Linked DNA regions of Callithrix jacchus. The protein of the gene in region 2 interacts with the protein of the main gene of each other region in a pairwise test. Links are inferred from orthologs where the notes say so. Each region holds a gene or a part of one and is shown on either strand. Other genes may lie near its edges.

What was found.
Region 1: the proteins of TACC1 (region 2) and CKAP5 interact in binary tests that used the Homo sapiens proteins (3 or more experiments, as listed by UniProt). The link is inferred for Callithrix jacchus from reciprocal best matches to the Homo sapiens genes TACC1 and CKAP5.

Annotation. Positions count from the first base shown.
Region 1 is NC_133511.1:111,899,967-111,907,670, reverse strand, and holds the start of CKAP5 (cytoskeleton-associated protein 5), read left to right. Parts: upstream 1-2,729; 5' UTR 2,730-2,837; exon of another isoform or gene 2,838-2,922; intron 2,923-7,704. UniProt on the Homo sapiens protein: Binds to the plus end of microtubules and regulates microtubule dynamics and microtubule organization. Acts as a processive microtubule polymerase. Promotes cytoplasmic microtubule nucleation and elongation. Plays a major role in organizing spindle poles.
Region 2 is NC_133514.1:39,583,213-39,590,857, forward strand, and holds the start of TACC1 (transforming acidic coiled-coil-containing protein 1), read left to right. Parts: upstream 1-2,454; 5' UTR 2,455-2,873; coding exon of another isoform or gene 2,874-2,950; intron 2,951-7,645. UniProt on the Homo sapiens protein: Involved in transcription regulation induced by nuclear receptors, including in T3 thyroid hormone and all-trans retinoic acid pathways. Might promote the nuclear localization of the receptors.

The sequences.
Region 1 (7,704 bases), on a different chromosome or scaffold from region 2:
GTTGTATATATACATCATGGAATACTATGCAGCCATAAAAAAGAATGAAATCATGTCCTTTGCAGCAGCCTGGATGCAGCTGGAGGCCATAATCCTAAACAAACTAATGCAGAAACAGAAAACCAAATATTGCATGTTCTCACTTAGAAATAGGAGCTAAACATTGGGTACACATGGACATAGAGAAGGGTATGATAGACACCTAGGACTACTAGAGATGGGAGAGTGGGAGAGGAGCAAAGACTGAAAACCTACTGTTGGGTACTATGCTCAGTACCTACGTTTATTCATACCCCAAACCTTAGCATCACACAATATACCTTTATCACAAATCTGCACATGTACCCCAGATTCTAAAATAAAAGTTGAAAAATAAAATAAAATTATAGTCTTTCCAACCCCAATTTCCTAGCCCTTTACCCAGTTTTATTATTTTTCCTTTTCCCACTGGACATATTTTCTAATAACACACTATATAATTTATTTATGCATTGATTGTCTGTGTTTCCTCACTATAGTGTGAGTGCCCCAAGGGGAGGAAATTTTGGGGAGTCTATTTTGTCTACTGATCGTTGCAGTGCCTAGAATAGTCCCTCCACATACTAGGTGCTGATAAACATTTGTCGAATGAATAAATGAGTAGAATCAGACATCTAATGCCCATCTTAAAGTAGGGATGTACCTAAGTCATCCAAGACAAAAAGGGGTTTTGCCGTCTTGTTCTAAAACTCTCCAGGACCCACACTGTACAAACATACTTTATTAAGCCAATTCCAGATTATCATCACACCCTCTCCATAAATGTGATCTTCAGTTTATTTCTGGTAATATTTAAATGAAGTAAATATGCCAACAACCAATGACTGAAGAAGACTATTTCTGTATGTCCTCATCAATTTCTCCAAGGTTACCATGACCGTATTGCTTTGATTCATTCCTTTCTTCTCCTACATGTGAATCTGTCCTCATTGCCCATCCTTTCACTCTTTCCAATCCCCTGTCTGTAGTCTCATTCACTCTATCAATGTGATCCCCAAATCTTTATCATTGATTCTACATCTATTCTTCCAGCTTCCATTGTATATTTTCTAGGCCTACTTGGACGGTTCCATTAGAATGCTTCATTGGTACCTACCAGTAAACAGGTTGTAATTTAAACTCCTCACCCTACCCTTGAGACCTGCTTCTTCTGATTGCCTACTTCCATTGGGCAATCAAATCCTGGAATTCTCTTTGACTCGCCTCCCTAAATGGGATCCACCCTCTCCTTTGCAACTAATTTAGTCAGTTGCCAAATCTTTCATTCTTTCTTGAATCTGCTCTCATTCTCTCTACCGCTAACACCTCATATCAGACGCCTTGCTGGGTTCCCAACTCTAAACCATTTTAGACAATCAATCTAATTAATGTTCCTAAAGTACAACTCTGATTTTGTCACTCTCTTGCTCAGGAACTCTTAATAGCCCCCCCCCATTATCCACTTAACAAAGTACTAATTCCATACCCTGGTATTCAGGATCCTTTAAGAACTGCTTCTAACCTTCTGTGTCAATCTTGTGTTCCACTACTTCCCAACATAATTTCAGTCCTAAAATCAACCCCACATGTTCAGTCCCATACATACGATGCACTTCCTTGTTTCTGTGCCCTGACTCACACTTTGCCCACTAGACATCTCGCTCCTTCTATGAAGGAAAAAAGAAACACATCATATCAATGGTAAAAATTTATTTTCTTCCCTGTCGAGTCCCACTTCTATTAAGTTTCTTATAATTCCAGGAAGGTTCTAACCATTTTCAGGCATGTCCTCAAACACATATATTTATAACCATATATAATAAAATCATTGCACAAGTTTTGCAACTTGCTTTTTGTTCAATTAATAAAATTTGTGCATTTTTCCACTCCAGCATGTAGATGAACCACATTCTTTTAAACAGTTGCATAGAGTTCCATTGAATGGATATACCATAATTCATGTAAAAAGTTCTCTGTTGATAAACATCTAATTTCACCCAGGCTGGAGTACAGTGGTATGATCATAGCTCACTGCAGCCTTTATCTCCCACACTCCAGCAATCCTCCACCTCCAGCTCCCAAAGCACTGGGATTATAGGCATAAGCCACCATGCTTGGCCTCCAGAATTTTTTTTTTTTTTTTTTTAATCTTAAGCAGTGCTGGCTGGACACAGTGGCTCATGCCTGTAATCACAACACTTTGAAAGGCCAAGGCGGGTGGATCACTTGAGATCAGGAGTTCGAGATCACCCTGGCCAACATGGTGAAACCCCGTCTCTACCAGAAAAAAAAAAAAAAATTAGCTGGGCATGGTGATGCAAGTCTGTAATCCCAGCTACTTGGGATTACTGCAGTAGTGCAGTAAACATCATTGGAAATTTTTCTTTTTCTTTGCATACTTGCGTACATCTGTAGGACAAATTCCTCAAGGTAGCATTAAACTCAGGAGGCTGAGGCATGCTGACGGTCAGAAATGCCCAGCCCTACACACACCTTTGGCCCTCCTTTTCGGGGCCGTCGGCAGCTCGGCCCCCGCAGCGACCGGCGTCCCCACCCGAGCTGGCAACGCCAGGTCCAGAGGGAAACACAGCAGCGCGCGGCTCCCTTAAGGCTGCAGGAGGCGCGTGCCCACAGACCTTTCAAATGGACCAATAAAAGGCTGATGGGCGGTCCGTCGAGGACCAATAAAGAACGAGGACACTGCGGGGTGTGCGGCGGCCCAAGCGGTTTCAAACGGCTTAGAGCAGGCCCCTTGGTTCTGACCCGGCTGAGGTGAGTGATAGGTGGGCCTGCCCCACCCACGAGGCCCTCGAGGGCAGGTATCGCGCGCGTACAGTGGTCTCTGGGTCCCAGGGGCGGGGGGGTCTTCAGAAGCGCGCCGCCCTTGTCCCACGAACCCGGCAGGTCTGAGGCGGCGAAGCGGGGCGGAGGCCGGGGGACCTGCGGCGGGCAGGGCGGGGGGCGTGGGCGCTCGTGTGCGGCGGAGGCCGGGGTTGGGCTCCGGGTGGCCAGAGCGCACCGCAGCAGGGCGCGGGTGGCAGTGCCCGGGAAGCGCGGGCGGCACCGGGCCGCGCCTGGCGGCTGCGATATACCCGAACCAGGGCGGGGGCCCGGGGAGCCGGCCCTGCTAGAGTGCTCCTCGCGTAATTGTCAAGTGAATGAATAAGTAAGAGCCTCCTAGGGCTGTGGTGGTTGAGAAGGGCCTTGTCGTCTCGGAGCGTGACGAGAACGGCGGTATTGGGGCCTGGCCGCACACCTGTGTCCCCTGCCGGCTTGCTGCGATGTGAACGATTCCGATCATGCACCACCCCGCCCTTAACGTTTGTTTGGCTTTCACTCTCTCAAGGTGTCGGGAGCGTTCAGGTGTCCTTCTAGCCCTGGAGATGTGGGGGAACCAATACAATAGCCAGCAATGTGGGGTCCAGCAGGCCTTGCTACTTTAAGGTCGGGGCTCAGTGAACTGGATTCTTAGTTTTGAGCTCTCCCCTACTAGTTGTAATGGTGGTCATTGTTGGGCAGGATTGAAATGCATTCCGTTCTGTTTCTTGGATAGAAAATGGTGAAAGGGATGTTGCCAGAGTGGCTAGTGTGTGTTAGAAAATATATTCGTGTTGATGAATCTTAACAATGAGTTTTTCATTCAGCATCAATAGAAGTTGAAGTGGTTTTTGCAGAACTTGCCCCAAATTTATGCATGGCTCTAATTTAATTCTCATGGGACCAGGACATCAAATCTTGGCCCAGAAATGCTGCCTGTCTTATGCATAATTATAGTAATTGAAAACTCATTTTTAGAAAGGTGAGCTCCTCCTTCCTCCATTTTCATCACCCTGAAAAGTCCTTCTTTGACCTAACGAGCCAATAAATGAAGCTAAGAATCTTTTGAAACTTTAAAAAATTGTAAAGGATTTTTGACTTAAGTGACTGGGCAAACTGTAATGCTTTTATAAACTTTAGTGATATAAAGGTGGAAGCAATTTATTTTGCCAGCATAAGTTAAATCTAGTTGATAAACTCATGCAAAAAAAAATTTTAAATACATTTTTAAAGGCTGTTCACTGAGGCAATGACAAGCAAAGGTATTCCATAACAATTAACATGACTTTTATTTTATTCTCCATTACTTTAAAGTGTTGATCAGCTTTGAATTATGAACAGTGGTGTGTGGTAATTCCATCGCACTTTTCTACAACTGACGGTTCAGTTTTAGCAGCAGCTGTTTTTCTGTTTTTTTTTTTTTCTTTTCTTTTTCTTTTACCAGTTTATTGTAAAGGATGCTACAAAGGATAGAGATGAAGAGAGGCATAGGTCTAGTAGGTGTGAGAGGGGTGTGGAGCTCTCACATGAAGTATGTTTGAATATACCAACTCTCTTATAAACTTTTATCTTAATTCCATCAACGCTTTTCTTTCTTTCTTTTTTTTTTTTTCTTTTTGAGATGGAGTCTCACTCTGTTGCCCAGGCTGGAGTGCAGTGGCATGATCTTGGCTCACTGCAACCTCTGCCTCCTAGGTTCAAGGGATTCTCCCACCTCAGCCTCCCAAGTAGCTGGGACTACTGGTGTGTACCATGATGCCCAGCTAATTTTTTGTATTTTTAGTAGAGACAGGGTTTCACCATGTTGGGCAGGCTGGTCTCGAACTTCTGATCTTAAGTGATCCGCCCACCTCGGCTTCCCAAAGTGCTGGAATTACAGGGGCGAGCCACCACATCCAGCCAACCCTCACTTTTCTAACTGCAGCTTCCATTAGGACCTGATCAACAGGTTTTGTTTTTGCAATTCTAGGTAGGGGAAGTGTTCCCCAGCCAGACATATTATCCATTCCCATAAAACATTTATGTATAGGAGACACGGCTTCCAACTTTCGTAGTAGTGTCAACACGTTTTTGTGTTCTCTCTCTCTCTCTTTTTTTTTTTTTTTTTTTTTTTTTTTTTGAGATCAGATCTCACTCTGTCGCCTTGGCTGCGGTGCAGTGCTGCAATTATGGCTCACTGCAGCCTCGACCTCCAGGGCTCAGGTGATCCTCCCATCTCAGCCTCTGAGTAGCTGGGACTACAGATGTGCATCACCATGCCTGGCAAATTTTTAAATTTTTTGTAGCAACGAGGTTTTACCTTGTTGCCCAACCTGGTCTTGAATTCCTGGGCTCAAGGCGTCCTTCTGTCTCGGCCTCCCAAAATGCTGGGGTTACAGGTGTCAACCAGTATGACTGGCCTTCTCTTAATCTAGTTGTAGCCCTCTTCAGGGCTTCACAAATGGCTCTTGGTACCACTGTGCCTGGGGCTTCTATATGAAGGAGACCCAGGAATTTCTCTTCACCACTCCCTGACCATTTTACCTACTTGTATACAGAAAACTTGGGGTCCTCATCCAAGAGACACTTGCCCATTTGTCAGTTTTTTGTTTTTTTTGAGATGGAGTCTTGCTTTGTCACCAGGCTGGAGTGCAGTGGTGCAATCTTGGCTCATTGCAACCTCCGTCTCCTGGGTTCAAGTGATTCCCCTGCCTCAGCCTCCGGAGTAGCTGAGACTATAGGCACGTGCCTCTACACCCAACAAATTTTTTGTATTTTAGTAGACACAGGATTTCACCATATTGGCCAGGGTGGTCTCGATCTCCTGACCTCATGATCCACCTGCCTCAGCCTCCCACAATGCTGGGATTACAGGCATGAGCCCCCACACCCGGCCTGTTAGTCTTTATCTTTTTGACTCACCTGCTTATTGCCCCATCAATTTCAGATTCGATTTCTCATTATAATCTGCCTCCTGACTTAGAATTTCTCCAAACTGGGGTAAATATAGCAAACCTGGTTGGAACCCCTTAATATTGGGAAACTACCAGGGGCTCCCTTTGGCACCCATGCTAGTCTTGAACCCCTGGGCTCACGTGATCATCCAGCCTCGTCCTCCCAAAGTGCTGGGATTACGGGCATGAGCCACCACATCCTTCTACCTTATTTCTTAATAACCATTTAAAAATTTCCACCTTCCATGATGAATCCATTTGCCCTCTGTCTCACTATTCTCTTAGCCTAATGGTTTTATTAGCATCTGTAAGTCCTATGAGAGGAAACAGACAGCACATTTGGTAAGGCTTCTCGAACTGTCTTTTGATTTTGCAGTGGTAAGGTTATCCACATTAAGGAGTCCACCCTTAACCACCGCATTTACCATGACCTGGGTAGTGGGCATTTTTAGAAGGTAAATGTCCTAGTCATCATAAAGCCATTTTCACGTGGCTTGCATATGAAGCATCAGTGGCTTTATCTGGATCTGGGGTGTTACACTTGGCATTTATAGGTAGAATCAGACTGTTCTCCTCAAGAAGCTGATGATACTAATGTACAAAAATGAAACAATTCTTTCACATTGTAGCCCCTGGTTTCAATAGTTCCTTGGTTTTGCAGACCACCCTCTTCCTTACCAGAGGTCTTAGAAGCACTTTTGGTTGTGACAGCATAAATTTTTCCCTTGGGACAGCTTTGAGGCTAGTGGCCTAAGCTCACACACTTACTGAAATCTGAGCTTGGTCTAGCAGGAAGGTCCAACCCACCACTCTCTTAATTTCATTTTAGCTGTAACAGATAACAATAACCAAGGGATTTAACATTTCATTTCTTAAATACTAGTTTGCATCTCCTTGTGTATCCCGTGAACCAACTCCCAGGCAGTTGGATCCATCTGTAGATTCCATAATTAACTTTTTTTTGAGACGCAGTCTCGCTTTGTAGCCCAGGCTGGAGTGCAGTGGTGCAATCTCGGCTCACTACAATCTCCACCTCCTGGGTTCAAGCAATTCTCCTGCCTTAGCTTCTCGAGTAGCTGGGACTACAGGTGCGTGCCACCACGCCTAGCTAATTTTTTTTTTATTTTTTAGTAGAGACAGAGTTTCACCATGTTAGCCAGGATGGTTTAGATCTCTTGACCTCGTGATCCACCCACCTCAGCCTCCCAAAGTGCTGGGATTACAATCGTGAGCCACTGTACTGGTTCCATAGGATAACTTTTACCTTTAGTAATTGATGACAGCACAGCTTTGGCTCCTTGCCATAAGTGACCACTTGGCCACTCAGGAATCAAAGATTCTTCGTCCCCCATCCTTTTATCCTTTTTCTTCCCAAACCATATATGTCTGTGAGCCAAAGTCATTCAAGCAAATCCCAATTCTGACCATTTAGAATAACAAACTAGTAAGTTTATCTTATACATTTATACTGTAGAATATTTCCGTGACCTCAGATATGTGGGAGCTTTTCCCCACATGCCAAGCAAGTAGTTCTTGAGCAGTGAACACCACCTTTGTGTCCTCTAGTTCAGTTCAATTCTAACACTTTTTTTTTTTTTTGAGACAGTCGCTCTGTCACCCAGGCTGGAGTACAGTGGCGTGATCTTGGCTCACTGCAACCTCCGCCTCCTGGGTTCAAGCGATTCTCCTGCCTCAGCCTCCTGAGTAGCTGGGATTACAAGCACCTGCCACCACGCCCAGCTAATTTTTTGTGTTTTTAGTATAGACAATTTTTCCATGTTGGCCAGGCTGGTCTCGAACTTCTGACCTCAGGTGATCTGCCCACCTCAGCCTCCCAAAGTGCTAGGATTACAGGTATGAGCCACTGCGCCTGTCCAATTCTGACACTATCTGGAGGTAGTGTCAGATCCCACAGATTGAGGGTTTAGTCTTGTAA
Region 2 (7,645 bases):
CTGGCCCAAAGCCCCAGTTGCCATGCCAGTCAGGGCAGCAAACCCAGTAAGCAACATAAAGCCAAAAAGGTCAACACACAAGCATCTTTGCAGAGATGCCCTTTGGGTCCCAGATGTTTAATCTTTCACATTGTTTCACAGAGTTCCTGTTTCTCTTGTCTCAATTTCTCTGCAACACAAGAGGGTGTGGGCTCCCTCCCCTCCCCTCCCCTCCCCTCCCCTCCCCTTCCTTTTCTCTCTCCTTCTCTCTTTATTTCGGCAGAGTCTCACTTTGTTGCCAAAGGTAGAGTCCAGTGGTGCAATCTCAGTTCACTATAACCTCTGCTTCCCGGGTTCAAACAATTTTCATGTCTCAGCTTCCCGAATAGCTGGGATTACAGGTACACATCACCATGCTTAGCTAATTTCTTTTTTTTTTTTTTTAAGTAGAGATGGAGTTTTGCCATGTTGGCCAGGCTGGTCTCAAACTCCTGACCTCAAGTGCTGCCCACCTTAACCTCCAAAAGTGCTGGGATTACAGGTGTGAGCCACCGCACCCAGGCTTTTTCCCTTACTTTCAACCATGTTAGTGGTATCACCCTGTGCCTTTCTGCACTGACAGTAGCAAGATTCTTCTCGGCAGCCCACTTGTCTACCAGAGAAGGAAAACATTCCCATTTCCACCCTCCTCTCCTGCCGCTCCCCCTCCTGTCTTCCCTTGGAATGACCAACTGAGAATAAAGACCTTTCTCACTGGGAGAGGCTGAGTGTTCCTCTGAAGGTAACCGCAGCTCTGACAGGGTCCTGTTTGCCTTCTCAATGACACGTCAATCACATTGCCATAGTGTTCCAAACAGACTGTGGGAAGAATCTGAACTTCAAAGAAAAATTATCTTAGGAGTTCAAGGCTGCAGCGAGCTAAGATCATGCCACTGCACTCTAATCTGGGTAACAGAGCAAGACCCCGCCTCTAAAAAAAAATCCCACAGGAGTCAACTTTTCTTTAGTTAACTGAAATTCCTCATACAAAAATCTGAATTCCTTCAAAAATCTCAGCCTCACTCTACTTTTACTAATTGTTTATTTTTCCACTTCAAAATACTCTGTTTATGTCTACCATGTGCCAACATCCTGGACCCTGAGATCTGAGTCTCACTCTACTTTTACTAATTGTTTACTTTTCCACTTCAAAATACTCTGTTTATGTCTACCATGTGCCAACATCCTGGACCCTGGGAACTTTCTGGCAAAGTAGACTGAAGATAATTTATAAACAGATAGTCAAAATCTGATACATAAAAGAGAAATCTATTATAAATATACATCTCTAATATGCATTTTCTGATTCTCTCTGGAACAACTAAAATGTAGTCACAAATATCTTTATTCCCCTATAGCTTCAAGAATGAAGTTAGCATACACAATTCTGTGTGCTTCCTCACTGACTCATTCATTCATTGGGCAAATAGTTATTGTATATAAACCATGAGCCAGGCACTGTGCTGGGCACTAAGCTAGAATACAGAGATAAGAAGCATTCCTGGCTGGGTGCGGTGGCTCACATCTGTAATTCCAGCGCTTTGAGAGGCCAAAGCAGGAGGATCACTTGAGGCTAGGAGTTTGAGACCAACCTCGGCAGCATAGTGAGACTCTGTCTCTAAAAAGAAAAAGAAAAAAAAATGGGTGTGGTGGCATGCACCTGTGGTCCCAGCTGCTGAGAAGGCTGAGGCAGGAGGGCTGCCTGAGTCCAGGAATTCAAGGTTGCAGCGAGCTCTGATCACATCACTGCACTCCAGCCTGGGCAACAGAAAGAGACACGGTCTTTCACAACAACAACATAGCGTTCCTGCCTTTAAAGAACTTACATTCTAGTGAAAGACAAGTGAAGAGATAATTATTATTATTTTTGAGATGGAGTTTCACTCTTATTGCCCAGGCTGGAGTGCAGTGACGCGATCTCGCAGCACTTTGGGAGGCCTAGGCGGGTGGATTACCTGAGGTCAGGAGTTCAAGACCAGCCTAACATGGTGAGGCAGGAATGGTGAGGAAGGGCATGAGATGCTGAAACGGGAGGTGCTAGGTGTAGCTGGGTCACAGATGAGACGATAGGGCTAGGTGTTTGTTTGTTTTTTCTTTCCGATAGTTTGGAGGAAAACTCATTGCTTGGTTGTCAGAGCCTAAAGGGACATTAAGAGCTAAAGATGAACATACTCCCTTATTTTATAGACAAAGGAAACAAGATTCAGAGAGGGTGAAATAACTTGTTTCAAGTTATTCAGCTAGTTGGAAGCAAAACCAGAATGCCTCCAGTGTTCTGTGCAACGCAGTCCAGGCCTCCCTCGCGTCCCAAGAGGCAGAAGCGATTTGGGGAAAAGGCCACGCCCCTTGCACGGCCGCCGGGGTCCCCCGACCCTGGCACACACCGCCCCCTCCTGCTTCTTCTCTGAACAGCTGCTCCCGGGGCCTCTTCCCGCCGCTTCCCTTCCAACCCTGGACCCAGCGGGCGGAGAGGGCGACGTCCGCGGTGCTCGGGGACCGGGGGCGCCCGCAGGCCTCGCGCCCTCCACCTGCTGCCCCGTGCGGCTGAGGGGCTCCCTTGCCCGGCGAGGAGGCACCGCTGCCCGGACTCCTCGCAGCCCCGCGCGCCCCGGGCGCTCCCCAGCTCCAGGCGGCGGCCCCCGCGAGGCCCTGCAACCCGCGGAGAAGTTGGCGGCGTCTGAAGCCACCTCCTTCCCCCTCTTTCCCAGCAACTGGGACCCTACGGCCGGGCGCCCCACCCCACCCACCCTCGCCCCACCCTTCCTCCCGCCCAGCTGCCTCCCCGCCCAGGGTCGGTCAAGAGACGCCCGCCGCCCAGCACTGGCGGGTGCAGCCCGGGCGCCAAGTTCCGCGCCATGGGAGGCTCCCACTCTCAGACCCCGAGGGGCCGGGAACCCGCCGGGGAGAGGTCCCCGAGACCCACGGAGACCGCGTGAGTCCCAGAGCCCTGTCCGGGGGCCGCCTTTGGGGGTTTGCGTGCCAGTCATGGATGGAGCGCGCGGGGCCGGTCCCAGAAAGGCTGGGAAGGTGGAGTAGCCGCTCGCGGCTGCGGGACACGAGCGCTCTGGGTTTGGCCTGCGGGGCCCCCGGGTACGCCCGGCTGGGAGAGACCCCCAGTACCCCACCGCGACCGGATTGCGTCCGGGCGGGACTGTGGTCCTGCTCCATTCCACGCTGCACCGGCGAGATAAGGGGACCCCGAGTTTTTCTGGCCTCGTCCAAGCAGAAAACCCACGTGTCCTAAAGAGCTCTGAAACGTTCAAAAGATAGCTATTTGCAGGGAGGTAAAACCATGAGAGAGGCCCCAGAGTCTCTAAACGCAGCTCATGTTGGCCCTCGGGGTCCAGAAATTTTGACGCCGTCCTTGCTGCTTGCAAGAACTCCCTCTCTTGTTTGCTCCAAGGGCTTCATGATGATCTCAGTAAAAAAAAAAAAAAAGGGCTGTATTGTAGCAGCAGCAATTAGGCTTTTGTTCTGGGACAGCAACAATTGGGGACACCGAGTACTGTAATGCAAGCAGTGAAGGGAAAGTTTTCGAGAACGTGATTAGGAGCAAGTCCCACTGTTTGGAAGATGGCCACGCTTATAGACAGAGAGGGGATAACGATTTATTTGGAAACCCAAATAGTCTTTAAGTATTTGATTAATTTTTTTTTAATGCATGCGTGTCTTGGAATTGCGGCAATGTCAAGGAGTCCATACTCCTTATTTTAAAGCAGCCAGAGTGGGAGTTATTTCGTTTTAGAAAGATACACTTAACCATCACAAAAGCAGCCTGGACGGTGGGAAGGCTTTTAAATCATCTTTTCAAGACAAAGTATCTTTCGGAATATCCAAATGTTAATTGTGGCTCCTAACGTTTATTGATGATCACAAATCTAAACTTACTTCAGGCAGCTTATTAATAAGAATAGCTGAGGCCAGGCGATTGTGGCTCAGGCCTGTAAGCCCAGCACTTTGGGAGGTCGAGGCAGGCGGATCACTTGAAGTCAGGAGTTTGATCCGCCTTGGCCAACATGGTGAAACCCCCGTCTCTACTACAAATACAAAAATTAGCCTGGCTTGGTTGACGTGAGCCTATAGTGCCAGCTACTTGGGAGGCTGAGATGGGAGAATCGCTTGAACCCGGGAGAAGGAGGTTGTGGTGAGCTGAGATTGCACCACTGCCCTCCAGCCTGAGCAACAGAGGGAGACTCTGTCTAAAAAAAAAAAAAAAAAAAAAAGAATAGCTGAGATTTACTGAGCACATGACATGTGCAAAACGCTTCTAAATGCGCCACATGTTATTTAACCCCCAAGAGCACTGAGTTATTACTGCTCTTGTTACTCTCTTCATTTTCCTGGCGAGGGAACTGAAGCACAGAAAGATCAAGTAACTTGTCCAAGGTCACACAGCTAGAAAGTGGTGGACCCCAGACTGCCTAACTCCAGAGCTCATGCTGCAGCCGCCTCCCACCCAACACTTGGAACTATCCTAGGAAACAATCAAAATTTGTCTCAACTGGCAGAGCACACCCTCCTTTTTCCTTTAATTTTCTTTGAATAAGGAGGAAATCTGCAATAGCAATGCTTAATAGCCAATAAGGCAAAATTGCCAAAGTCAATTTAACTTTCTTTTTTTTTTTAGACAGAATCTTGCTCTGTCGCCAGGCTGGAGTACATTGGCGCGATCTTGGCTCACTGCAACCTGTGTCTCCTGGGTTCAAGCGATTCCCCTGCTTCAGCCTCCTGAGTATCTGGGATTACAAGTGCACACCACCAGCCTGGCTAATTTTTGTGTATTTTAGTAGAGATAGGGTTTCACCATGGCCAGGATGGTCTCCATCTCCTGACCTCATGATCCACCCACTCGTGACTCCCCAAAATGCTGAGATTACAGGTGTGAGCCACTGCGTCTGGCCAATTTAACTTTCAAAAAACAAAATGAGTGGCAATATAACACTCATAACTGAGATGAAGTTAAGAGTTTTGGAGGCAAATAGCCATGCGTTTAATTTCTAGGTGCTGCTCCTTAATGCTGGAGATCTTTTATCTCTTCCTTAACCCCTCTGTGTCTGTTTCCTTGTTTGTGAAACAGGAATTATAACAATATCTACTTCACAGGCTGTTCTGAGATTGACATAAAGTCATGTATATATATATGAATAATAAGTTATAGTTTATCTCTGAGCAATATACTAATTTAACTGAGGATGAAAGTTGACTATTTTTTGTGAATGTGTGGCCAGGTTTACTGTGTAACTTGCAAGTAAATAATGGAGTCATTCACTATGGCATGCTGAAGAAATCAACTCAGGATGCGAGGTAGGATTCAGTTGTTAGGGTGTTAAATTAGCAGTTATTAAATTATCCAGTGGCTTGGCAGTCTACTCATTTTAACTGTATAATATAAACATGTATAGAGGATCTCTCTCTTCATGGAGGCTCTGTGTGCACCTTGTGTATTTTGCAAAGCTTGCCTAAAAACGATCAACATGAAAGGCTATCCTTGGTCTTTGCCTAGGAATGCAGCCCTTCCTACTCAAGCGAATACATTAAGCACATAAACACATGCAATCAGTGCTGGGATTACTGGCCTCATCTGCATGTGTAGACTCTGCTCAATGAGGCAGCCTCACAAAGTATTTGGCATGCCCAAGTGAAAGACTTTAGATACGCAAGATTCCAACCTGTAATATACATGAAAAGCAAAAAGGATGCTTTTTATCCAAGTCCTGCCTCGTTCAGATGTCTGAAGCCACAAGTCTAAGCCACAAGTCTCTCCAGGATACAAGAAAGTGGGCGATTCATTGTTAATGTCACCCGCTACAGACTTCCTGCCGGACGTATGGCTGTTGTGGATAACGCTGACCTCAAGGAAGTTCTCCTACTCAGGCTGTAGCTTTTTCAAAATCTATTGTTCTTTTTTTTAAAAAAAAAAAATATGAGAGTCATATGAGTAATACATTAATGCTGGCATTTGTCTTTTGAGGAAGAAAGTATGTTTCAGAATGTTCACAATTTGTATCTCAGAATAATTTAATCAGGTACTAAAAGTAACCAGATTAAATCTCTTTTATAAGAGCTCTATTGTGAAACATAAACAAGTATAGATGTACATGAAAAGAAATGTCTGATTTTAAGATAGAATTCATTATTATGGAGAATTGTAGCTGCTAACCTTCTCCAAACCCAAGAAACAAATGAGCCAGCTTTGGTAAAAGCTAGTGGAAATTTCACTTCATTTGTTCAATGAGGCTGCCCAGGAAGGTGATTAAGAGCAGAAATTGTGGAGTCAGGCAGACCTGGGTTGTAATACCAGCTAGATCACTTAGGAGGTTAGTTTAGGAAACACTGGAAATAATAGTTATTTAACTCTTCAGTTGGGCAATTTTCTACATCTATAAAATGGCAATAATAATCAGGCCTAATTTTTTTTTTTTTTAGAGACAGTCTCACTCTGTTGCCCAGGCTGGAGTGCAATGGCACGATCTTGGCTCACTGCAACCTCCATCTCCCAGGTTCAAGTGATGCCTCCTGCCTCAGCCTCCTGAGTAGCTGGGATTACAGGTACAACACCAAATAAAATAATTTTTATTTATAGTAGAGATGGGGTTTCACCATGTTGGCCGGGCTGGTCTCGAACTGTTGACCTCAAGTGATCCACCCACCTTGGCCTCCCAAAGTGCTGGCATTATAGGCGTGAGCCACTGCACCTGGCCTCAGACCTCATTTTTGAAGTGGTATATATTAGTAACACAATGGCCAGCACGTAGTGAGTGTGCAATACATAGTTATTATGGACATATTTGCACGTATGTATACCCATGAACCAGATGCTATGCTGGGCTCTTTGGAAGGTACATTCATGAGTAAGGCAGGGTCTCTTCTGCAGGGAAGTTTGATTTGTGTGCTAATTCTGCAAGGCCTCTGAGAGAAGAAAGGAAATAACTTTTTTGAGTTAATGTTTTTCTCATTTTTCACTTTCCTTTTCCAGAAAGTTGTACTACCAAGAGGATGGAGATTACATTTGGGGATATGGTGGTTTGATGAAAGGTTTGAAATCACTCATTCCTTAGTTGTTTATTTTTGGCGATGTGGCCAAGGTAGGTTTTCTATGAGTAGTGAGGAATTTGTGGAGAGATTTGAAGGATGAGACAAAGCGGAACGTAGGATTCATTAGGGATATGGTATGTAACGAACTTATCTGCTGTCTGTTGTTTAGGTTCTCTGCCTGGAAGTTAAGATCTGCACCTGCTGTCAATTCTTACTAGTTAGATTCCCAGACCAATTATTTGCATTTGGAATTTAGCATAATGGAAAGGTCAGTGGTAAAGTCCGGAGTTTCTGACGTCTTGAGTGATTTTGCTGTGTGAATTCCTGATCGAGTAAACTAGGTGCAGACTATGTGATACTGTAGTGAACTGCAAAGTCAGCAACAGCTAGGATGAAGTGCCTTTTAATGGGCACATGTCCCTGACACTAAGGGAGAGGTGCTGGCTTGGAGGTTTTAGACACAAGAAAACATGCCTTAAAATAACTAAACTTAGGGAGCAACGTGTAAATTTATTGCTTTCAGAATTAATGTATTGTTTACCACCTTCTCAACACAAAATTTTTGTTGTCATTAAAAGCATGTCAATTCTCA